3 linked regions of the Lepisosteus oculatus genome follow. The protein of the gene in region 1 binds, or shares a complex with, the protein of each later gene. Links are inferred from orthologs where the notes say so. Each region holds a gene or a part of one and is shown on either strand. Other genes may lie near its edges.

Region 1 (7,459 bases):
GCAGCCGGTCACATAGGTTAAAGACCGGGGTTTAGTTATGGAACCCAGGGAAGGTACCAGACATATCCACCTAAGTGCTGGCTGAAATGAAAGAGTCCGAGACAGTGCAAAGGCATCCAAAGGCAGAAGAAAGTTATTTCTTCCCCCAGGGCAGTGCCCGGAGCCAAGGCCGATGGGTAGGAAATAGGCTCACCTTGGCACAGATACTGGCGGCGCTGACAATGGGGAAGAGGGAATCAGCTTTGGGCCGGACCGTGACCACTATGCCTGGGAAGCGCTGGGACAGCTTCTCCTGGTACTTCTCAGCTGGGCCCACTGTGTCAACGAACAGCTGCACACAGCCGGGTGGAGAGAGAGAGAGGCAGGAGCAGAGGAGGAAAGAGGGCAATGGGGGGGGAAAAAGATCTTTTGTTTAATTATTGAAAACACGGGCTAGGAAGCAGAGCTCAGACTCAGTTTTTGAACTGCATGGAAAATACAGAAGATGCACCATACCTCTTTGACCTGCACGCCACAGTCCAGCGCATACTGCACCAGCCCTATCGCTGCGTCGTGGGAAAGGGCATTCAGATTGTATTTCGCCCTGTTGGAGAGCAGACGGCAAACCCATCACCTGCTTCAGCATCTAATTCACAATGTGAGCTACAGCACACTGCGGTGCGCGAATTGATTAGTGCAATTTAACAAACAATGAGGTAAACGGGGTAGACACTAGAATCTCCATATGTGTACACTAATATTCTTTTGGTGCCCATTCGTGTTCCCAGTTCATTACCGGACATAATTAAAACAAAAAACACCTCTGAACTCGCTGGCCTCAGCTTTCCCACAATCCTCCCTCCCGCAGCCTCAACGTCTGCCCCCCCCCTCTGCAGCGTCTGCGTCAGGCCATGCACGACGCCAGCCCAGGCCAAAATCGGGGTCCTGCCACGCGCTCCCGACCACGCCCAGCCCGCGCAGAGCGGTGGCCGGCAGGGGGAGCAGGGAGGCGTCGTACCTCTGCAGCATGCCCGTGGAGATGGTGTTGGGGGAGAGGATGTGCAGGGCCCAGCCCACGTAGCTGTTGGCCTCCTCCAGCTGGCCGAACAGATTCTCCCGCTCCACCTCCGACAGGGTCTTGGAATCTGAAAACGAAGCGGGGGAGGAGTCACGGGAACGGACAAGCAAAAACAGGCCTGAAGGAAACGCAGTCCGGCCCGATCATTACCTGCAACTTTCAAATCCTGAAGGTCGGTTTTCTTCGAGATGGGGCAATAGCAGATTCCATAAACCATGGGGCCTAGGAGGAGTATATATATATAAAAAAAGACTCTTTAGTAGACAGAACAGAGCTGTGTTTTTAAAACACAGACAGCCTCACTCACAGCACAAAATAAATTCAACTGGAACTGAAGTAAAACAACGACAGCCCACTCATGTGGGCAGTCCACCTCACCATCTTCAATGGCTAAGCAAGGATCAAAGCCTTCTGGGAGTGAGAAACCTAACCGAGCCAATCTCTTCAATGGGACCCACCAGAAGACAAGCCACAGGAAACCCCTCTGTCCTTGAACACGAACAAGAGCCCACATACCACAGGCCACCTGGGACACATTCCCACCGAGAGGAATTATACACCACTCAGCAGGAAAAGAGTCCGAGTCAAAGCAAAGCGACAGGTCTGATCTGTCCTGCAGACAGGAGGGAAGAATGCCAACACAGAACGTGCTGTATCTGTGCGGTGACGTTCTGAATCGGCACCATGCGTGAAGTTGCCTTACTAGAATCTGCAGCCCAGGACCTGCTACGTGACAGTCCTGCAGGTTTTACTGTCAGAGTTTCAGACTCTCTTTCTTCTGGGTGGCCATGCTTTCTGGTTTCCATTTCAACTTCATTTTAGGCACGTTTATTTCTTTGTATTCTCTGGGATTCTATTCTCACCACACTGGTGGTGGTGGAGGGGAGTCCCCTTTACCTGTAAAGCCCTTTGTGTGGAGGGTCCAGCAAGGACCTATACAAGCCTAAGCTCTACAGCTATATAAATATTATTATTAAAAGTCACTGTGGCTCCTCATACAAAGTCAGAGGATCAACAAAATTATCCAGAGCTCAGCGACAGCAAAGACAGACCCTGCGAGTTTTCCCAAGGGGGGTGGCAGGTTTGCGATTTCTCACCGAGCACGGGGCCCCGTCCGGCCTCGTCGATCCCCAGACAGCAGTCCTCGGTCTTACACACCTCTGGAACAGCCGACGACAGGCGGCAGCTTTGGGAGTTATCTTCCTCGAATTTGCCGAGGTCCATCTTCTTCAACTGCGGGCTCTTTATAAAGAGCCGTCACAAGCGTCCACACTCGGCAAGACTGTAAAATGCTGAATATAAAGCAAACTGACAGTTGAAAATATTGCACGCCCGCTCATATTCCAAAACTGATCGTGTTTCGAACAAGCTATTCGTGAAGCGGTGTCAGCCGGAGCCTGCTGCAGTTTGTGTTAAAGCAGACTGCGTTTTTAAAGGGACTGGCTTCTCCTAGGAAAGGTTTTAAACCTTATGCTGCACAAAAAAAAAACGCTAACTCATCTTTTAGGGTAATCTTTTCTTCTCGGGAAGTCTGCTTTAAAATGGCAGTCGCGAACGGAGAGAAAGCTTTTTTTAATATATGATCGCGACCACTAAAAAGTATCAATTTTACTATGGGTAATCCCTAATACGGTTGAAACATACGCGTTTATTTGTTCGGGCACGGAAAGTAACTAAATGAATAATTCCCCCACGATGGTTTATCAAAATCCGTTTTACCAATTATAAAGCAAAAGTGTTTTAGGTATTTATCGTACTTCACAGCTGATCAAATTTTTACAATGCATGTTCAAAAGATGGGAGTTTTTAATGTATCACGACGGGGGAATTTTAAGTTTCTTTAAAATGTCTCAAATGGTTTTACAAAAACTACTTATCGTAAACAAGAGAGTACTAAAACTCTTTTAATCTCTCTTTTAGGAATACATAAATGATTACAAGCATACAGCGAAACTAGTGCTACTTACAGATTTACACCTACAACTCCTGCAGTTCTGCAGCTTTGCTTAGCGCGCGAGAAACTAACGTTCGACCTTTCACCTTTTGAACTCCTGACGCTATAGTAAATACAAATAAACAATATTTTTTTAATGTGAAACGTAAAAAGAACTACTCAGACTAATGTAATTGTTCTTAAGAGATTAGATTATTCCTCATAAAAGTATAAAATGTTAATAAGTATTATTGTATTTATGTGGTGCGTCATGGGATTTGTAGTTCTTTGTGGTCTAGCGTGCGAGAAAACTACACGAACTGTTCTTTAAAAATATGTAAATATTGGATTCAGTAAAATTACATTCAAAGTAATATGAATATTATTATGTGGAAGTTAGTAATTTGTTATATACACATTTTTAGGCAAAGTAACAGTCAGAAACCAAAATACAATAAAAACAAACTTTTCAAACAAACATCATCTTTTCTTGAAACAATATCCTTACACTTATAAGGCACTTTACAGGTAACCACCAACACCCCACAGTACACTCTCCACCCATCAGTTATCAGTGGAGAGGAGCAATGAAGCCAGTTCGGAGATGGGCAATGATAAGAGGGAAATTTGGCCAGGATGCAGGGGTTACACCCCTACTCTTTTCAAAACAGACCCAGGAGGTCTCCCATCCAGGTACTGGCCAGGTACCTGCTGAGCTCCAATGGGCTGCCAGCTGTGAGTTGATATAGCAATAACATGGTTCTTTCATGTGTGTATCGATCTTTCTATATCCCTCTATATATCTGTTTGTTTTCCAAATGTGTTTCTGTATATTAACCGGTACATTAATAATGTATTTAGTAACGTACTTCGTAATTTTACATGTTTACATTTTTCCCCATATCAATGTTCTCTCGCTTTTCTGTAGGTGAAACTACCAGGCCTAATTTCAGAACATTATTATTATTATATTATTATAATTCTAGATTCGTCTTGAAATGCGACCCGGCGTCACTCTCGCGAGAAGTGGAGTCGGCGGGTTTATCGTGAGGTCACTGGTCACGAGCTCCTCCTGCTGTGGAGTCAAGTGCGAGACCGGAGTTCTGTCTTGCGGACGCGAGAGCGCAGAGCTGTTCGAGCCCTCAGAATAACAACTCGTGAGTGTCCATTGCAGACTGACATGAGATTACACTTTGCATGCCCGGTTAAATTAAGCAATTGCAATTCTGCGTTTTAGTTTTATGCAACTAGTTGTGTGTGTGTGTGAGGAACGTATGCATAGTAAGACTTGATTGTGTCGGGTGGATAGAGCTCAAGAAATGAATGGAGGCGGGCTCTGTCTCCCGCTGTGCTTCATTTTATTCCTTTGTGGAGCGGACTATTATTGAATATGTCGTTTCTATCTTTATACGTTTCTATCTTTATGCGTTCCATAGGGTCAAATGCCGTAGTTTAGTCACACACTTGCTGTGCTGTCTCTTGCATTTGTCATTTATTTGAGAGTAAAGGCTTATTTTCCTTTAGTGCATACTGTGAGCAGAATATGCAGTCCAAATTCCGAAGCGGATTTATTAGGCGAAAATGCGAAACGAGGACAATGAGCTCTTTTGATGCGTTTTGCTGTGTCACTGGAGCTGTTAGAAACAGCGTGTTAGAAGGGAATTGTCTAACTTATCTTGCAGTGACCGAGCCGCAGCTCACTGTGATGATAAGTCTTCCTTGATATCCGATATATTTCGCCCTGCCTTGAAGTCTCTCTATACACTTTTTTTTCTAACCTTCGTGAAGAGCGCCTTTTGTACAATTACTCTAAGACTTCTGTTCTGACCGGTGAATGCGGCGCAGTAATTTAATGAGAAAGGCGCATCGAGTTTCTTAATTTCTCAAGTTCATCTGAAAGATAATCGTAGTTTTTTTCATTACGCGATTAAAACAAGTTTGGGTTCATGCGCTTTCATCGGAAAAGAAAACCGACTAATCTGGGGCTCCCCACTCTGTTGTTGGTTTACACCCCAGCAGAGCTGTAAATCACCAGCGCTGCTTGATGCCTCTTAGTTAACCAACTATCTAAACACGCGAGCGGATAACTTGTTTCTGCGCTCAATACGTGTTTGAGAAATTCCCTATTCCATCCTCGTACTTTGAAGGCTGTTCGCGTTCACAGCTTCAAACTGTTTCTCCTCAAATGTAGGGGCCGTTTGTGCGTGACCTGCTGCTAATAGGTGATTTTTGACGAGTGCTCGCAGCATGTCACGTGTCAAACACCCACACTGGGCGTGTTTTTTCCCCGTAGTGTCTTGATCAGGTAATAGCTGAATGTGGGGGAGTCTGAACTCCAGTCACTGGGGCAGGGAGGAAGTCTGTTATCAGCCGCCGAGATTATTTAATCGTGCCATAAATAAAAAAAATAGAAATCAATTAACCACTCATCAGGAGCTCCGCTGGAATGAAATCCAGAGAGCACATGGGTGCCCCCAAGGACTTGCTCCTTTTTATATCCGGCTGTTTCCAAAGCCGGAGGCACAGGGGAGCTGTAGGATTAGTGACTTGCATGTGACTATGGAGTTCTGCACAGCTCCGTTGTTTTAAATCGGTCTTGGGGGTGACGGGTGTTTATTGCCACCCCTGAAGGCTGCGAGGGGCGCGTGCGAGCGTGTGGTGGGACGGAGACGTCTCGGGGCCCCTCGTGTGCACCCGCGCCCCACCTCCCCCTCCTGAGCGCTCCGTTAGGCTCGAGGTGCTCTTGCCCCTCCCCCACTTTATAGAGCCAGTGCTGGGAAGGGGGACCGAGCGCAGATCTGAGCGTGGGGAATTCTCGAGAAGAAGAAGAGGGGAACCCCCCCCCCCCCTCTGAATTACCCCGGCGAGTTCCTCTTGCTCGAGCGAGGGAAAGGAACGTGTACAGCTGCACGGCCCTCTTCCAGGAAACTGCTACAGCCTTTTCTTACGACAGCAGTTGAGACCGGTTTCTATGGGCCAGTGTCCCAACCAAATCTCCCCCTGGCCTGTACCGATCATGGCCTCCTAATAATCCCCATCTTGAATTGGCTTCATCACTCTGTTCTCCTCCCCCCGATAGCTGGTGTGTGGTGAGTGTACTGGCGCGCTATGGCTGCTGTCGCACCATCCAGGTGGGGCAACACACTGGTGGTGGAGGGGAGTCCCCATTACCTGTAAAGCCCTTTGAGTGGAGCATCCAGAAACATGTTAGAATGATGAAAATGTGGTGAAAAGGGAATCGGGCCGGTCAGCCCTTGTCTAACGGGTGCAGGAGCTGTGTGCCCCATCTCTCCGAAGACCTGTCCTAGCTGAGCTCTCGCGTGCTGGCTGATCCTCCTCGGTGGAGGCTTGCCTTGCGCTGTCTCGGTACTGCCGAGCAATCCAGTGCTGGATTGACACCACCACCCTGCGTCTTTTTTTTTTTCCTTGCAGCCGCCAGCTGGAATGTCTTCTGGGAACGCCAAGATCGGGAAGCCCGCCCCCCACTTCCAGGCCACGGCGGTGGTGGACGGCCAGTTCAAGGAGATCAAGCTGTCGGACTACAGAGGTAACGCGGCGGCGGCGCCATCTCTGCGCCGTTCCCCCGGGGACGAAGTCGCCGACAAGCACAGCCCCGTCTCTCACACGGCGTCTTGGGCTTTTGAGTTTCAGAGCCTTTTTTTTTTGCCTTGCGTTTAACTGTCATGTTCCACCAGAGGTGGAAGTGAAACCAGCCAAAAATACTGAACCACCAAGCTTCTGTTCTGTGAGGCCTGAGAGGGGTCGGCTTTATCACATTAGCAACCTCTCTGTCCACGAAAGAGCTTATGTTTTTGTTCATGGAGGGGAAAGCGCGTCCCTCTGCCCGGAGCAGATCTCGATACGGCATTGGGGACCGTCAGGAAAAAGCCAGATAGGACTCTGGGATTAATTACCTCTTAACTCCGAAAAATGCAAGGCAGGCCACCTACAAACCCACATGAGTTCTGTCAGCTTTCGAAGCGTCTGGTGCAGAATCGTCCTACTGTAGAATTTCCCCCTAAAGGAGTTTTTTTTTCCTCTTTTCTCACCACTCGACTGTCATGTGATGTCCCGTCAAGAATCGGCCTTGTTTCACGGTTTAATGCTTTTTGTCCCCTCTTTCGCTCTCTCTCTCTCTCTCTTCCAGTATGCAGCAGGGATGTTTATCTTCAAGCTGCGTAGGGTTTTTTCAGTGAAGTTTTCCCTGTTCCAATGCCTGTATAATGGTGTTAGAGCAGTGGGTCAACCTCTGACACTCTCTCTCTCTCTCTCCCCCCCCCTCCTCGAATGGCTCGACCCCGCCAGGGAAGTACGTGGTCTTCTTCTTCTACCCCCTGGACTTCACCTTCGTCTGCCCCACGGAGATCGTGGCCTTCAGTGACCGCGCCGAGGAATTCCGCAAGATCAACTGCGAGGTGATCGCTGCCTCCACGGACTCGCAGTTCTCTCACCTGGCCTGGTGAGTGGGG
Region 2 (7,869 bases), on another chromosome or scaffold:
GGGCATGAGCTCCTCACCCCACTGCCCTCAGGCAAGAGATATAAGAGCATACGGACACTGACCACTAGATTCTTCAATAGCTTCTATCCACAAGCAGTGAGACTGGCGAACACATTTAGCCATCGCCCTCGGACCACACCTACACCATCACCATCTACCTCATTGTAATTTATTAATTGTACGTCTCCAGTCATTGTTTACACGTCTGTATTGTTTACATTCAAACTGTCTGCATGTTTACTTGCACATTGTCTACTGTTTGTTTGTATATTGTCTTGATGCACTGTTTGCACTTTGTTTTGTTTTTTTACACTTGTTTTACAATCGAGAGACTTCCTGTCAGTAAGAATTCCATTGTACCAGTACCGGTTACATATGGCAATAAAGATCAAGTTCAAGTTCAGGAGGAGGGTGCACCAGTGCTCAGAGAGGAAGGGCCAGCAGGAGTCCGTTCAGTGAATATTCTGCTCACTGCCCCAGGGCTCCAGCTGTTGGCTCAGTGATGCTCTGGGACAGGCAGTGTGGGCAGCCCCTGTGTGGGGTCTCTCTCTCTCCGACTCCCAGTCTGCTCCTGCAACAGCACCTGAGACAGCAGTCACACACAGTCTCTCTCTGACTGTCCCAGAGTCCAGCAGACCTGAGACAGAACTCAAACACACTGACACACTGATGCACTGATACACACAGTCTCTCTCTGACCGTCCCAGACTCCAGCAGACCTGAGACAACTGTCACACAAGCTGACACACACACTGACACACACACAGTCTCTCTCTGACTGTCCCAGACTCCAGCACACCTGAGACAACGGTCACACACGCTGATGCACAGACACACTGTCAGGCCGCTGTCTGAAACACCCTTCCCACCGGGATACTGCAGTATCCCACACGGAACAACAGTGAACTCCCGGCCCCCCCACACACCCACACACACCCCCCTCCCCTCTCACACCCACACACGCCTCGTGCCCAGAACTCGCCAGCGTCTGCTCGTTTCAAAATGCCCCCCCCAGGAGCGCGAGAAATACCCCATCACAGGGTATCCAGAGATCGGCTCCGACAAACCGCTCCTGCAGAGGAAGAGGAAGAGAGAGCGAGCTCCGCAGCTCCGCGGCTGGGGGCCAGTACTGTGCGTGTTTAACAACGACTCGCTGCGCCACGGTGCGTTTGCACGGCCCCGCACGACACGACACGACACGACACGGACACGACACGGGCACGCTCCCAGAGTCGAAACCCCGCTGGAGCCACGCGAATTGATTGTTGTGACGAGTCTGCGCTCAGCGAGGGCTCGACGCGGAAGCTGCGCTTTTTCCTCTGTCTTCTTGTGAAGCTGCCGCCCTGGCGAGACGCCCACGCCGACCCCCCCCTCTTCTCCCTCCCTGTTTTGGCTCAGAGGAGCTCGATCGCATTACCCCAAGTTCCCTGCGCGGTGGCCCCAAGAAGTTTCTGAGCCGAACCCCCCGGGACCAAACCCAACAGCAGCAGCAGAGCTGTCAGAGACCCCGTGACTAAAGATGCGCGATTTTCCAAAACTTTCTTTTTTTTTTGCAGCAGAAAAAGCTGGTTTACTGTACCTTGCCCTTTCTCTATCGGCCGTGTTCTCGGTCTGTATGTGTGACTCTGAACTCTCCGGGCGAGTCTGAGTTCCTATTTCACAGCCTCGCCTCCGCCTCTCGGTCGCATGTGTTGCTAAATCTTTTGAAACACACACCCAGCCCAGGCGAGCGCAGAGCGCGCTCCCGAGCTGCCGAGCACGGACACTTCCGCAAGACCCGGAGCCGGAGCTCGGAGCGGAGCCGATACAAACGCAGTAGGGCGCTCCGGATCCCGGATCTGGATCTGTGCTCTCTACTATAATAACAACAATAATAGTAATAATTGCTCACACTTATATAGCGCTTTTCTGGGCCCTCCACTTAGAGTTCTTTACAGGTCATGGGGATCCCCTCCACCCCCACCTGGATGATGCTCCAGTCCGCTCCCCACACCCCAGCTCTCAGTGGGGAGGAGAGCAGAGTGATGGAGCCAGTTCAGAGAGGGGGGTTATTAGGAGGCCATGATGGGTGAAGGCCAGGGGGGAATATGGCCAGGACACTGGGGTTACACCCTGAATGTTCTTGAGAAACGCCCTGGGGTTTTTAATGACCACAGAGAGTCAGGACCTTGGTTTTACGTCTCATCCGAAGGACGGCGCCTTTTTCCAGTATAGTGTAATATAACAAACTATGTTATACTATAACAGTATAATATAACCAACTATACTGGTGTGTGTTGAGGCGATAAAAATCAGTTCAAGATGTTGGTAAATAACACAATTTAGCTTCACATGTCTGAATTCAAGAGCTGATTCTATCATCTCTGAACACCCTGGCCCTCCAGGACTGGACACCTCGGACCCATGAAGAAGATGTGAGTCGTTTTCAATCTTGTCAGCAGGGCAGAACACCACACGGGCTGGGTCACAAGAGACTCATCGCTCCGGCACTTGCACAAAAAAAAAAAGACAAAAATGAAAAAGTCACAACCTCACCTAAAAGCTATTTTCGGAGTGCCATCAGGGCACTGAATCAACAAGATGAGCTCGGGCCGGACTGCAGCCCATCGTCTCTGACGTGTTACTGCTCTGCTCTGTAGAATCACACCTCCTGCCGAATGTCAGGTGAGCTGGACTCTTGATTCCTCGCTGTGTCTCCGTGGAGCCTGCAGGGTCTCACTGGGAGGGATCGTACTCACAAACTCACAAACGCCTCAACTAAAGTCTGATCTGATCTTATCTGATCTCAGAGTGCAGTGCCAACAGGAAGTACTGCCTTTATCGGCAGTGTTGTGGGGAATTCTTCCTCAGAGGAGCAGGACGCAGCCTTGTGCAGATTCAGTTTTATTGAGCTCAATAAGTCCCACAACGCTCGCTGGGTCGGCCCCACAGAACAGACAGGCTGCAAGGGTCTCCCAGCTCTTATAGACAGTCAGAAGAAAGTTTGTTTCACGATCCGAGTGCTTGTCCTGTTCTTTGATATGTAATAACCTCTTGTCCTGCTCTGTCTTGCTCTGGGTTCTGTCCTTTGAGCTGCAGTAGACATTGGTCTGCTGTGTCCTGTTTGTGGGTGTTGTTCCTGTTGTTTACTATGTAGCGTTAAGCCACTGGGGCTGCTAAAGCAAATCAGCTTTATGGCATCTTAGTGTAACTTTTGTGTTAATTTGCTAAATTACCAGACCCCAGCAACTCCTCTCACGATGTGCTTAAGTGGTGCTGCTGTGATGCCGGACGAGTGAGATGTATACATGTCTCACTTCGACAGCAAGCAGCCACGGCCACAGAAAGGTGTCAAACTGCAGCAGTGCGCTGATCAGCCACACCCACACATCGACCAGCGCTGAGGAGGCAGGAAAACTCACAGACGTTACGGCCCCCCCAGAGCTCGGGCCAGGCCGACAACATGCAGACTCCACCCAGAAGGATCCAGGTCCAGGAGAATTGACTCAGGTCTAAGGCGCTGTGTGGTAGCACATAATAATAATAATAATAATAATAATAATAATAATAATAATAATATGCATAAATGTGTTATTTGCCATTTCTCCATGTTTTCATAACATATTTTTAAAATGTCATCATTAATACAGATTTGAGTGGTTCGGCACCTGTTTCCTCAGTGATCGATCCCAGAGAGCCCTGCTGTCGGGGAAGGGCGTTGGTGACGATGGGTTTTGTCAGCCAGTGCAGTTCTCGCTCCACACGGATGAAACGCAGATCACCGACAGCGCTGTTTTTTTCCTCTCGCGTCTGCGTGCGGACGATAGGGCCTTATCTGACCTCCTGCAGGGAAGAACATTCGACCGATACAGATAAAGCATCCACTCTTACGAACCGGAGCCAGGAGAGGACTCTGGAAATAAAAGCCCAGAGAGAAGAGAGAGAGAGAACTGAGCCCGCCTACAGATACACGCGGCTAGTCTGTGGAGAGTGGGCCTTGTTCTGAATATCGGTATCCGTATCCGCACGTACACCGATCACAGTGAAGCAGTGTTCTCAGTGAACGACGCCTCACATTCACTGCGGTCCCACTTTGAAAAAGGACCGCCGCGATGACGTTTCAGAGTGCCGAAGGTTACGGCAACATTTTTTAGAAGTCATTCATCCCCAGCGCCTTTATGGTTTCCAACTCTGATCCACGAGCCCCTCAGGGCACATACACACGTCACACGCGACTCTGCAGATTTTCTCAGCACTTCAGTTTATCGTCGTACGCACAAGTGCAATGAAATGCTTTTTTGCATGTATGCGCCAATACAAAGATGCACTGTATTGTATGGTATCGCTGTTAATTTTACACTGATTACACAGATGCAGCCATTCAAAACAAGCGGGTTACGCTGCGGTACAACGCGGTGGGCGTATTGCATCTAAACGCGTCATACCGCGCCACACCGTAGGCAAATTAGATTATGTTAATAGTAAAACATTACAATCACCTTGTAAAACCGCCAGGTGGCGCTAATAAAGCTTAACCTCTCCTGTACAGCATTTGAGCTGTCGCCAGAAAACACCCGGTTTCGAATCCCGATCACTGCTGAGGGAGAATCTTTATTCAGTTAAGAATTTAAGTTGTATACTCTTTATGTCTGTCCTTTGTACGCACAGCAAGTGTTTTGGCCGCAGGAAGAAATTCTGGGTCCTTGCATCGTGTAAACAAGCTGTTGTAGCGAGCGCCGCCACGGCGATGTGGCAGACAACACTGACCTCTTGTGGGCAAGGTGAGAAGCACACGGGTCACGTCCCAAGACTACATTTCCCAGGGATCGCTGCGCAGCCTACAAGCGCCCGGCGCAAAGTGATGACACGGCAGCGCGGACTGAATTTGTGCCTGAAGACGCGCGCTAGAGGTTTGCTTCCGTTCAATTGCTTTTCCTTTGTTAATTTGTGCCAAAATCTGTGTTTTAAAGAGCCGTGTTGCTCCGTTAGTGTAAGTCTGCTCAAAGAACGCGTTGTCCGTCTTTTCCGCTGAAATGTTGCCTTTAGTTTTAGCTAAAGAGTGTGTCGGTGTCGTTCATGTTTTAAAACCTTTTCTGATTGATGAACTTTTTTCGGGACGGCTGAGCTGTTGGATTCCCCCTGGCTTGAGTGTGTTTCTAGAGGCCGAGAGGTGCAGCCTGCACACCAGTGAACACAAATAAACAGTCAGCTTTCTCGAAAAGACAGTTCTGGCCGGGTGCTCCCGGTGCATTCGGTACTGACCCGATTGATGATCTATACTGAGGGATACGGGGCCTGTGCACTGGGGAGAGTCCGGCTCAGACTGACCGGTGCACAGGGGAGAGTCCGTCTCAGACTGACCCGTGCACAGGGGAGAGTCCGTCTCAGACTGACCCGTGCACAGGGGAGAGTCCGGCTCAGGCTGACCGGTGCACAGCGCAGAGTCCGTCTCAGGCTGACCCATGCACAGGGGAGAGTCCGGCTCAGACTGACCGGTGCACAGGGCAGAGTCCGGTTCAGACTGACCGGTGCACAGAGGAGAGTCCGGCTCAGACTGACCGGTGCACAGAGGAGAGTCCGGCTCAGACTGACCGGTGCACAGGGGAGACTGACGGCCTGTGTTCTCCTCCAGGATGTCCGGCACCAGTGTGATCCGAGTGGACCTGGCCTCCGTCTCGCGGGCCGACGGGGAGCCCGTCCACCTCCTGCCCTGCGAGGTCGAGCACGACGGGCCGGCCCAGGTGGACCGCTTCTTCAGCGCCGCGGTCAAGGAGCGCGAGAGCGGTGAGCGAGCCGGGCCTCAGACCGGCAGACCCGACCTGTGGCCCGGCTCGGCCCCAGTGTGAGCAGCTCCCCTGGCCCGTTCCCTAGTCGGTAGTAACTGATCCCAGGATTTCATCCAGACGTTCCGAGGAGGCGGGGTATCGGCTTCAGCTACACGGCTGGGCAGCTTGTTCCACACCCCCGCCACCCTCTGTGTAAAGGGCCTCCTGTCCTGCCTGGAGGAGCTCCTCCAGCTGTGTCCTGACGGAAACCAGGGTATCGGCTTCGACAACAGGGCTGGGCAGCTTGTTCCACACCCCCACAACTCTTGGTGTAAAGTGGCACCTCCCATTCTCAGTCTTAAATGTATTTAAGGTGGGGTTTCCTGTGACCTTGCGTGACCTTGTCCCCCCCCCAGACAAGAGCGTGTCGTTCCGGGGCCGTGGGCTCAGAGGCCGGGAGGTCAGCTGTCCGGAGGGCTACACGGGCCTGGTGCTGAAAGAGGACCACAGGCCCGTCTCCGAGGAGGAGGTGAGCGCCGGGGTGTGGGGGGGGGGGGGGGGGGGCACAGGTGAGCCCGAGCAGGAGGGAGTTTCGGAGGAGGAATAATCACTGGGCACTTTCTTCCTTGGAAAAAAAAAGTTAATTTTGTGTGACGTGAGCCGTCAGCTCCTGGGGCCCCGGGTTCGACTCCACAGCCGGGGGGCTGTCTTACTCACCTGTGGGGGGGCGCGCTCTGCTCTGTCTCGGCCAGGAGCGCTCACTGAGGGTCAGGACGGTCTTCAGCAGCCTGACCTACTGGAACCTGGAGACGCCGCCCTCCTCGGACGATGGCGTTGCCATGGCGATGAGCTGGCCGGACATCGCGGGAGCAGTGAGTGGTTCTCCCAGTCTCTCTCCCAGTCACAGACTCTCTCTCCCTCAGATCCACGCTTTCCCAGTCTCTCTCCCTCAGATCCACGCTGTCCCAGACTCCCAGTCTCTCTCCCTCAGATCCACACTGTCCCAGAGTCCCAGTCTCTCTCTCCCTCAGATCCACGCTGTCCCAGAGTCCCAGACTCTCTCCCTCAGATCCACGCTGTCCCAGACTCTCTCCCTCAGATCCACGCTGTCCCAGACTCCCAGACTCTCTCCCTCAGATCCACGCTGTCCCAGACTCCCAGACTCTCTCCCTCAGATCCACGCTGTCCCAGACTCCCAGTCTCTCTCTCCCTCAGATCCACGCTGTCCCAGACTCCCAGTCTCTCTCTCCCTCAAATCCACGCTGTCCCAGACTCCCAGACTCTCTCTCCCTCAGATCCACGCTGTCCCAGACTCCCAGACTCTCTCTCCCTCAGATCCACGCTGTCCCAGACTCCCAGTCTCTCTCTCTCAGATCCACACTGTCCCAGACTCACAGACTCTCTCCCTCAGATCCACACTGTCCCAGACTCACAGACTCTCTCCCTCAGATCCACACTGTCCCAGACTCACAGACTCTCTCTCCCTCAGATCCACGCTGTCCCAGACTCCCAGACTCTCTCCCTAAGATCCACGCTGTCCCAGACTCACAGTCTCTCTCTCCCTCAGATCCACGGGCCTGTCGAAGACTAGAAAAGCTCTACAGCCTCGCACCTGGAACCAGGAGGCAGTAACCTGCCCGCACACATGTATATAGCATCACACACACACGTATATCTGCAGACACACATATGTACACACACACAGGGGCCGAGCTCCGTGAGCCTGGTCTCCCCCCAGCCCGCTGCGATGACGGTTCAGTCGGTGTGGACAGTGAAGGACAGCTCCCTGCTGCTCGAGTTCGACCTTCGGACTGACCGCCTGTGCCAGGAAGGCCCTACAGCCTGCTGTGAGGTGATGGGGGAAATGCTGTGCTCTGTGCTCTGATGTCTTATTAATAAAGAACGGGACGAGCCCTTGTGTGGAGCCTAGCTGACCGACTCTTCTGTCCCGGGTGACCCCGAGAGCAGCCGAGCAACAGGGCTGGAGAGGGCCACCCGCGCCCCATTCCTTGACACCCCTCCACCCCACGCCAGAACTTTGTGTGTGTCTGTGTGAAGTAACTCTCTTAACACCAGGTGCTGAAATACTAAAATAAACACACAGAGGTTCTTGGAGCCAGACGGG
Region 3 (7,031 bases), on another chromosome or scaffold:
CTGGAAATTTTGTTATAACGGTTTCTGATCTTCACTCTCCCAGATAAACGAATGTGAGAATAAACACAGTCTTTCCTTTATTAAACTAAGATCACTCATGATACAGCGGGCATGAAAGGAGCTATTTTACAGCTGCTATCTGTTACCAGCAATCTAGTTATCTGCCATGTTTTTGCTCTACTTTTAGAAAGTGAAAATGTTATCAGATTGGATGGAGCATTCCTGGGCCACTTGATTCTTACATGGTCCATCCTCCTACTCCTTCAGTTGAACACTAAGCAATCACAGCTTTTTTGAGCTGTTCAACGGAAGTAATACATTAAAAAAATACATGGTATCACACTTCTCTTTCTGGGTTTCTGCAAAAGGTCAACCTCCGTACAGTAATTCAATCCATGAAGTATGAAAGAGTGATTTCCTATGCTGAAGCCCCCTTTTGAGGATAAGGACTTTTCAAACGTCAGGAAACGTTTCACAGATTTGCAGGAGCTGTCCTCTTGCCTGTGTGTGTGAAGGAGAGCTGTAGTGACTCAGGGACAAAAGCAGGCTGTCGACAATGGTTTTCAAGCAGTCCCTTAGCTCTTTCAAGTCCTTGTCTGACTGGTGCCCATCGGCCCGTGCCGCCATGCGTATACAGATGTTTTGGAGATCAATACTGTCCTTTAGGAGACAAAAGGCAGAAAAAGAGCAATTAGAACCAGAGAAAACATGATACCCAATAAGAAAAATGAGCACAGAACATTCTCTAGAATTAAAACACATAGCGACAAAACAGCCGAATATTTGACACAAACCTAAACTGTCGTATTAACCACACTAAACCTCCAGGCCTTGTTTTATGGTTCACTTATCTGTTGCACTGGGGTATTACCACAGTCAACACTCCAGTACTCCACCCAGATAAAACACATCTTACCTGTTTTTCTTAGAAATATTTAAAACCATTTCCAATTAGTGAAGGGCTGAATAGTGAGAGCAGGTTTTCTTACATTCCTACATTTTTTTACTCACGAGCCAATTTAATTTATACATTTTACCAGGGTAACCCTGGGTTTGGAAACTCGCCAAGCAGGTTTTATGAGTCAACTGCTCGACTCAGAAGTTGGTAGAGATCACTTGAAACGAAAATACCATCACCATGTCACCCCCGCCTGACGTATTGAACCGAGTCGCTTGCTAAATGAATCAAATCTCGCGTGTTCCCAGTCTCCATAAACGGGGAAATTAAGAGTGACAGAAGATTTTCTTATATCCAGCTCTCCTGGACAAGAAATAGACCCAAAGTTTAAGTATTTTTGGTTATCTGTACTTCTTTATCAAACTCAGTTTAGCGCTGTGAGCTAATGTCTAAAGTAAGCGTCCATCACATTGTCGCCAGTGAGGACTGCCATTACAACGAATATAACGTGAAATGTGTTTTTTCATCCCTAGAACATCACATTCTTGCTTATAAATAATTCGGTATATGCTGCAAGAATTTTTGGCCGTCCAGCTCCAGAACTGGATATTTTTTGTACAAAGGTGGTCGCGCCGATCCTCAACCCAACTAAAAAGGCTGTCTGAAAATTACTGAATGAAACGAAACGCTGGAGCACAAGACTGTAACACGATCTTTAGCTACCATCTAAAATCAGTTTATAAACACTTTGAAAAGTCGATTTTAATTTAATGAAACCTAAAAGTCTTATAACTGCCCCCCCCTACATTTTATATTTCAACAAGAAACACCAGCAGACAGTCTCCTACCTTGGGGTGCATTACGATTCCCCGGTTCGGGGAGAGAAAGCGGCAAATGTCTTGCTCCGTGGAAATAACTTGGGAAGCTATCTCGGTTAACTTACAAAAGGCACTTTCTCGGGCTCTCACGGCTAGAGTACGGACTTCGCATCCTCTGTCGGATCGAGCCGGCCAGCCTGAGCCCCTCTTCAAAACAGCCCCGTCGTTGGGGTTAACGCGCTCCCGCAGTGAGCTCCTGCCGGAGACGGGCGCTTGCCCGCCGCATCTGTCGCGCGTCACGCCGCCTCTTTGTTTCAGGTCCACCTGCTGCTGCAGCAGCTTCAGCGCTTCTGCCTGATGCGCGATGGACGCGTTCAGTAAGACCTCCGCCTGCATTTTACTACCTCCAAGCCGCAACAAGAAAAAGAAAAAATATATATATATACGGCTCGGAACCAAAAAGCGACCCCGCAAGCAGGAGCCCCCCTCCCTGCGCTCTTAACTTCGAGAGCAGGTGCGAAACAGTCTCACAAAGCGGCTCCGACGGGCTGCCCGGCACAGTTCAAGCGCTCTTTGCGCACCACCAGATTTCCGTTATTGAGGGGCGCTGCTGATCCTACCCAACCAGGATGCGCTTCTCCGTCTTTTGAAATGTAAAAATACGGCAGAACTGGTTTTCGCCATGAGGGAGACAGGGGCGTTTAAAGATAACCAAATTCCTATCCTTTACGACAGGGTGTATTATTCTATTTAAAAAAAAATATTCACAATGGCTGGTGCAGATGGGAATTTCATTTTCAGTAGGTCCGCGTAGAGAAGGGGCAGAGAACGCGACCGTTTTTCATCTTACAAATCGGTCACCTTTCAGAGTATAAATACAAAGCAACTTTTTGCACCACGTTTTGCGACGGGGTATGCGCATTGAAAATGGGAGGATGTTGTGCAACATGAGCATGGTTTAAAACATCATCCTAAGTGTAGTAAAGCTCCGATGAGATATTTCACATTGTTGTATAAATGGCGCATTTATGCAAACTGCAGCTGTGAGCAGTTAGGAGTGCTGGTTCACATCACGGACGAAGGGCTCTCCCTTATAACGCCCTAGTAAATACCCTACACAGTATGTGATGAAACAAAGGAATTGTTTTCGAATTTACACACAGAAAAGAACCGGTGTGTAAATCCACGCCCCACTCCTACCACCCTAAATAACATGTATTTGCGTTTGGATTAAGTGGAAAATAGCGAACACAACAACAAGCCCAAATTAACACTAACACTGTAAATACAAACATAAATGTGAGCGAACGACAATGCAATCTTTGCTGGAGTACAGGCGTGAGTTAAAACACTATGTTGAATTTCACAGCCCAGTGTTATTAGGATTTTAATTGACAAACTGTTCCAAAATCATGAAGGGACTATACGGACTCTCGGATTTATTGCATCCTTAGTCTCTATAAAAGTAAAAGTAATTTTTAATATTAATTACACATTATAGACTTATACAGGCTAACACACTGCACATTTGTACAGATGGGGTACATTATGTGACGCTACCTATCCTCACAGACACGCTTTTCTTATTTTACACAACGTACTTTTTGCAGCTTTGCATTGATAATGCTAATCTCATTTTTCTTCGAAGAGATACAAAGCTTGTCTATGCAAAAGCTCATTACTCACTCTGAAATTGTGTGTAAGTTGAGCACTGCATTTCACCATTAGTTTTCCTCGCTCGGACCAGTCTTAATTTCAGTGCTGAAATCTCTACATTTTGTACACGTGTTTTGTTCATCCAGCTGTATATAAGAACTGTGTACTGTACCAGCACTGGTGTAAATAACATTCATTATTAATGTGATAGGATAGAATAAATACAGGGTGAGTCACGTACCCCTTTGTCCCTTTACGCTACAGAAATAAAATGCATTGTGGCGAGCCTCTTAGCTCGAAAACTGAATTTCTAAGAGTATTTATATAATTTTTACCAAGAATAAATAAAAGCGGAGCAACTATTTTCTGCAGTTCATTTCATAAAGCAGAAACGAAAAACATGCTGCCACTTTAACGTTTCCGACACCCCACGGTATTATTAAATTTAGAATAAAGCAGGATATCTGCATTGTACTAAGAAAAATAAGGCAATGTTTTTGTTTTAGAAAAAAGATGTGCGATTTAAGTAAACTCGTGACACAAAAAAGGAAGGAGTGGGTCACTGTCTCTTTAAAATGACGACAATGGGACAGACCAATTTTAAGGGAATTCACTGAACAGAGAAGCGTAACAACCCTGTGTGATCTCTTGTCATAAAAGTGGTCTACATCAACAGACTGTACATTAGTAACATTATATGATTTCGTTATTTTCTGAAAAATATATCTTTCTTTTTATACATCAGTGTAAAAAGTCTTAAAGATATGCTTCCCCCGTCGAAGTTATTAAGAATTTTACCGCCATTTTTAGCTTCTTAGTTTTGTTAGTACTCTCGCATAACAATTTATGTTTTACAGCCTTTTTAAAAAACTTTTCCAAACATGACTACAAGAAGAAAGCGTCAGTCAAACACGCAGGCAGACCAGTGGGTTGTTATAGCTGCAGGTAAGCTATACGGGGTCGACTCTAGGCGGCTTTAATGCAGGTTACAGCCGCCATGCCCATCTCTGAACCGAGGTGTGTGAAGACGTCTGTCCTGCAAACTTAATCGCTGCTTTAAGTGTTTTTTTTTAAACAATTACTTCTCCTTAAAGGTATTGACAGTTTTCACGAGAGACAGAGCAAGGATATTCTGCACGGGTTCACACGAAAAATACTGTGGTGGATATAGTTCTCGGCCTTGGAAATGATGTATGACAGAGTAGTATATCGGTGCTTTTCAGCACTATGTGCCCCTCTCATTTCCATTTTTGCAGTGAGCAAATAAAATAAGTAAACGAAATTATTATAAAAGTTAACGCAGCATTGAGATGCCACGACCACCTCCCTCCTCCTCGTTTAATCCTGTTGGCTCCGTTCTTGAATTAGTCTATTCTGAAATGTACGCCGACCGAGGCTCTCAAAAACTGTCGGGACTGCTTTGAACAAGATGAACAGCCTTCATATTTTAATGTTCACGTAGAAAATACAGCTGTGTTACTGGTTTTATAGTTTTGCTTTATACGATAAAGGGATCTGTTGAAACATGTCTTAATGGTGTTCGTAACTTTGAATTGTTAACGCCGAAACTTGGGCTACTTTTCTTTGGTGCCTGTTCATAGTATAAAAAGGACCAGCTTGACATTGTAGCAACACGAAATACAAGGCCCAATAAATAAATGATACTGTAGTGCCAGTTTCATATCTGCTTGGTTTGTTTTGTTTAATGCCTGACCAATTACTGTTTGGACATTACATACACGTTTTTGACCAGTACATTGTCCAATCAATTTTAAACATTTTCTGAAAAACCTGCCTAATTCTTCTGTACGATTATAGTTTTATGTTTTGTGTCATATTTAATTATAAGGCCTAAGGGACATTTTCTGAATAATTTGATCATTTTAGTGGTACACGATAGTTAAATACTCAGTAGATTTTGATGTGTATTTTAGAAGACCCCTGGATCTGTGAATATCCATGTTCCCTCCTGTTTACAGATTCAGTCATTGATGGAAAAAAGAAGCCAAACAGTGATCCTGTTTTTGTTCATCTTCGAAATCCTGCATCAAGTAAGCAATCCGCCATTCTTTCTTAACGGCTGGTAGGTGGCATTTTTCCTTTCTGTGAACAAGGGTTTACAACATAAAGCTGTTGTATTTGGAGAAATCCTGAGACAGAAAAGGAGGTGGGAGATGTCTTTTTCTATTGCTAAAGAGAAATCTGCAGTCTGTTTCTAACGTTGTCAGTCAAATAAATTTGGAGAGAAATTGCAAAATCGTGCAGGTTAATATCCATCCATCCATTTTTAACCAGTTCTTCCAGTTTAGTTTAGTGTGGTGGTGGAGCCTATCCGACAGACACGGACACGCACACACTCACACCAAGGACCAGTTTTCCCAGAAACCAGTCACACCTGAAGAAGGCTCCACGGCCAAAACGTTGTGTTTTCTTTCTTCTCTTTTCAGCATGGAATAAACCTATTACTTGTTCCTTTGCAACCTCCACGTATGTTGATATTTAGGTGAGAAATATGCTGCATCAGGTCCTGTAGTCACAGTTTATCCACCACTTACATGTAGAGAAAGATGTTAACCCTTCTTTGACAGCTCAACACTCTGTACAGTACAAGTTATGTCATGCAAGATAGGGGACAGAGGAAGTTATATCAGGTCAGCCAATTTTGAGAGTTACAGTACCTTTGCTTCTCTACTAGATGTTGGTTCTCTGTACCTCTTTGGGGGTGGCGACCTGCAGCTGTATGAGGTGAAAGCTTTTAATGAAGATTATCACTCCTGGTTTATTGGACAAACAGTGCAGCGAGGTGAGTGTTATGAAATAAGAAGTAATAGTTTTTAATTTTAAACTCCTCATAGATTAAGACTCAATAAACAAAGTATTTTTTCATACATTATAAAATTTGTGGAGTTCGATCTTGTGTGGCGAGTAGAGAATCATGCTTTCTCACACACTAGACCACACTGTGCTCAGAATTAGGTCAGGAACTCAAACTTAAAATAACTAACCAAAACATATTTAAACTTATTAAATTCTGCCTGCTGTAATAGCATATGTCACTGCATCTAGTCTTTTTTGGCAACTGAAGTTACTGTTATAAAGATTTATGTCAGAGCAGCTTCTACAATTTTTAAAAATTGAACATTTATGTGTGCTTACTCTCTTGTTGCCAATATAGTGGACAATATAGACAATTTTGTTTAACAATACCTGTGTATTATTTTAATCTGTAGACAACATACTTTTCTGTTTAATTAAAAAATACTTGTAGATGGAAGACTGCTGTATGTAACACCAATGGACCCTCTGTACCTTTTGTTGCCTTACCTGTTAAAAGCTGGGAAAGAGGTATGTACAGTATAAGTAAGAATAAGTTCTCCTATTTTAGCCTGACCATATCTTTATAAAACACACCACCATGACTCCTGGTATTCTGATGACTATATTGAGTTTGGCATTGCTGCACAGTACACATGCTTATATGTTAATGCTGTGTAGGAGTACTTTAAGGTGCTGGCAAAGTAAAAGTGAAAATTGTCAAATTCCCAAATACAAAGAAATGAAAATAGTTTTTAGAGGCATGCTGTAGAATCTGTTTAATAAGAAACATTACGGAACAGACAAGGCCTTTTGGTCCACTTGTGTTATATGGTTGTAAACTG

The links.
Region 2: the proteins of rnaseh2a (region 1) and rnaseh2c are in contact, whole or in part, in a crystal structure (PDB 3PUF), measured with the Homo sapiens proteins. The link is inferred for Lepisosteus oculatus from reciprocal best matches to the Homo sapiens genes RNASEH2A and RNASEH2C. Residues at the interface, in NP_006388.2 of Homo sapiens: Thr11, Asn99, Ser102, Thr103, Leu106, Gly107, Arg108, Val109, Val196, Glu197, Lys198, Leu199, Glu225, Pro226, Val227, Phe228, Gly229, Phe230, Pro231, Gln232, Phe236, Leu245, Ala249, Glu250, Asp251, Val252, Ile253, Trp254, Glu255, Asp256; in NP_115569.2 of Homo sapiens: Pro33, Cys34, Glu35, Val36, Ala37, Val38, Ala42, Pro43, Val44, Gly45, Arg46, Phe47, Phe48, Pro50, Ala51, Arg53, Ser62, Phe63, Arg64, Gly65, Arg66, Cys67, Leu68, Leu134, Glu135, Thr136, Lys143, Gly146, Ala147, Thr149.
Region 3: the proteins of rnaseh2a (region 1) and rnaseh2b are in contact, whole or in part, in a crystal structure (PDB 3PUF), measured with the Homo sapiens proteins. The link is inferred for Lepisosteus oculatus from reciprocal best matches to the Homo sapiens genes RNASEH2A and RNASEH2B. Residues at the interface, in NP_006388.2 of Homo sapiens: Val227, Phe228, Ile253, Trp254, Glu255, Ser284, His285, Tyr287, Phe288, Arg291, Gly292, Leu293, Glu294, Ser295, Ala296, Thr297, Ser298, Leu299; in NP_078846.2 of Homo sapiens: His16, Phe18, Lys39, Asn42, Gly48, Ala49, Ile50, Val63, Lys64, Val65, Phe66, Lys67, His70, Phe74, Val79, His86, Phe87, Val183, Tyr211, Gly214, Leu215, Asp218, Tyr219.

What each region holds. Positions count from the first base shown.
Region 1 is NC_090706.1:16,697,617-16,705,075, forward strand, and holds the start of rnaseh2a (ribonuclease H2 subunit A), read right to left. Parts: upstream 3,090-7,459; 5' UTR 3,025-3,089; intron 2,350-3,024; 5' UTR 2,282-2,349; coding exon 2,155-2,281; intron 1,280-2,154; coding exon 1,208-1,279; intron 1,125-1,207; coding exon 998-1,124; intron 584-997; coding exon 496-583; intron 332-495; coding exon 194-331; intron 1-193. Other genes in the region: prdx2 (peroxiredoxin-2), read left to right, coding at 6,435-6,537, 7,296-7,449. UniProt on the Homo sapiens protein: Catalytic subunit of RNase HII, an endonuclease that specifically degrades the RNA of RNA:DNA hybrids. Participates in DNA replication, possibly by mediating the removal of lagging-strand Okazaki fragment RNA primers during DNA replication.
Region 2 is NC_090713.1:22,627,787-22,635,655, reverse strand, and holds rnaseh2c (ribonuclease H2 subunit C), read left to right. Parts: upstream 1-4,815; 5' UTR 4,816-4,889; exon of another isoform or gene 4,890-4,969; intron 4,970-5,611; 5' UTR 5,612-5,612; coding exon 5,613-5,763; intron 5,764-6,160; coding exon 6,161-6,273; intron 6,274-6,496; coding exon 6,497-6,616; intron 6,617-7,311; coding exon 7,312-7,335; 3' UTR 7,336-7,668; downstream 7,669-7,869.
Region 3 is NC_090710.1:26,494,592-26,501,622, forward strand, and holds the start of rnaseh2b (ribonuclease H2 subunit B), read left to right. Parts: upstream 1-3,989; 5' UTR 3,990-4,253; coding exon 4,254-4,317; intron 4,318-5,351; coding exon 5,352-5,423; intron 5,424-6,067; coding exon 6,068-6,175; intron 6,176-6,640; coding exon 6,641-6,717; intron 6,718-7,031. Other genes in the region: dleu7 (leukemia-associated protein 7), read right to left, coding at 454-660, 1,747-2,112. UniProt on the Homo sapiens protein: Non catalytic subunit of RNase H2, an endonuclease that specifically degrades the RNA of RNA:DNA hybrids. Participates in DNA replication, possibly by mediating the removal of lagging-strand Okazaki fragment RNA primers during DNA replication.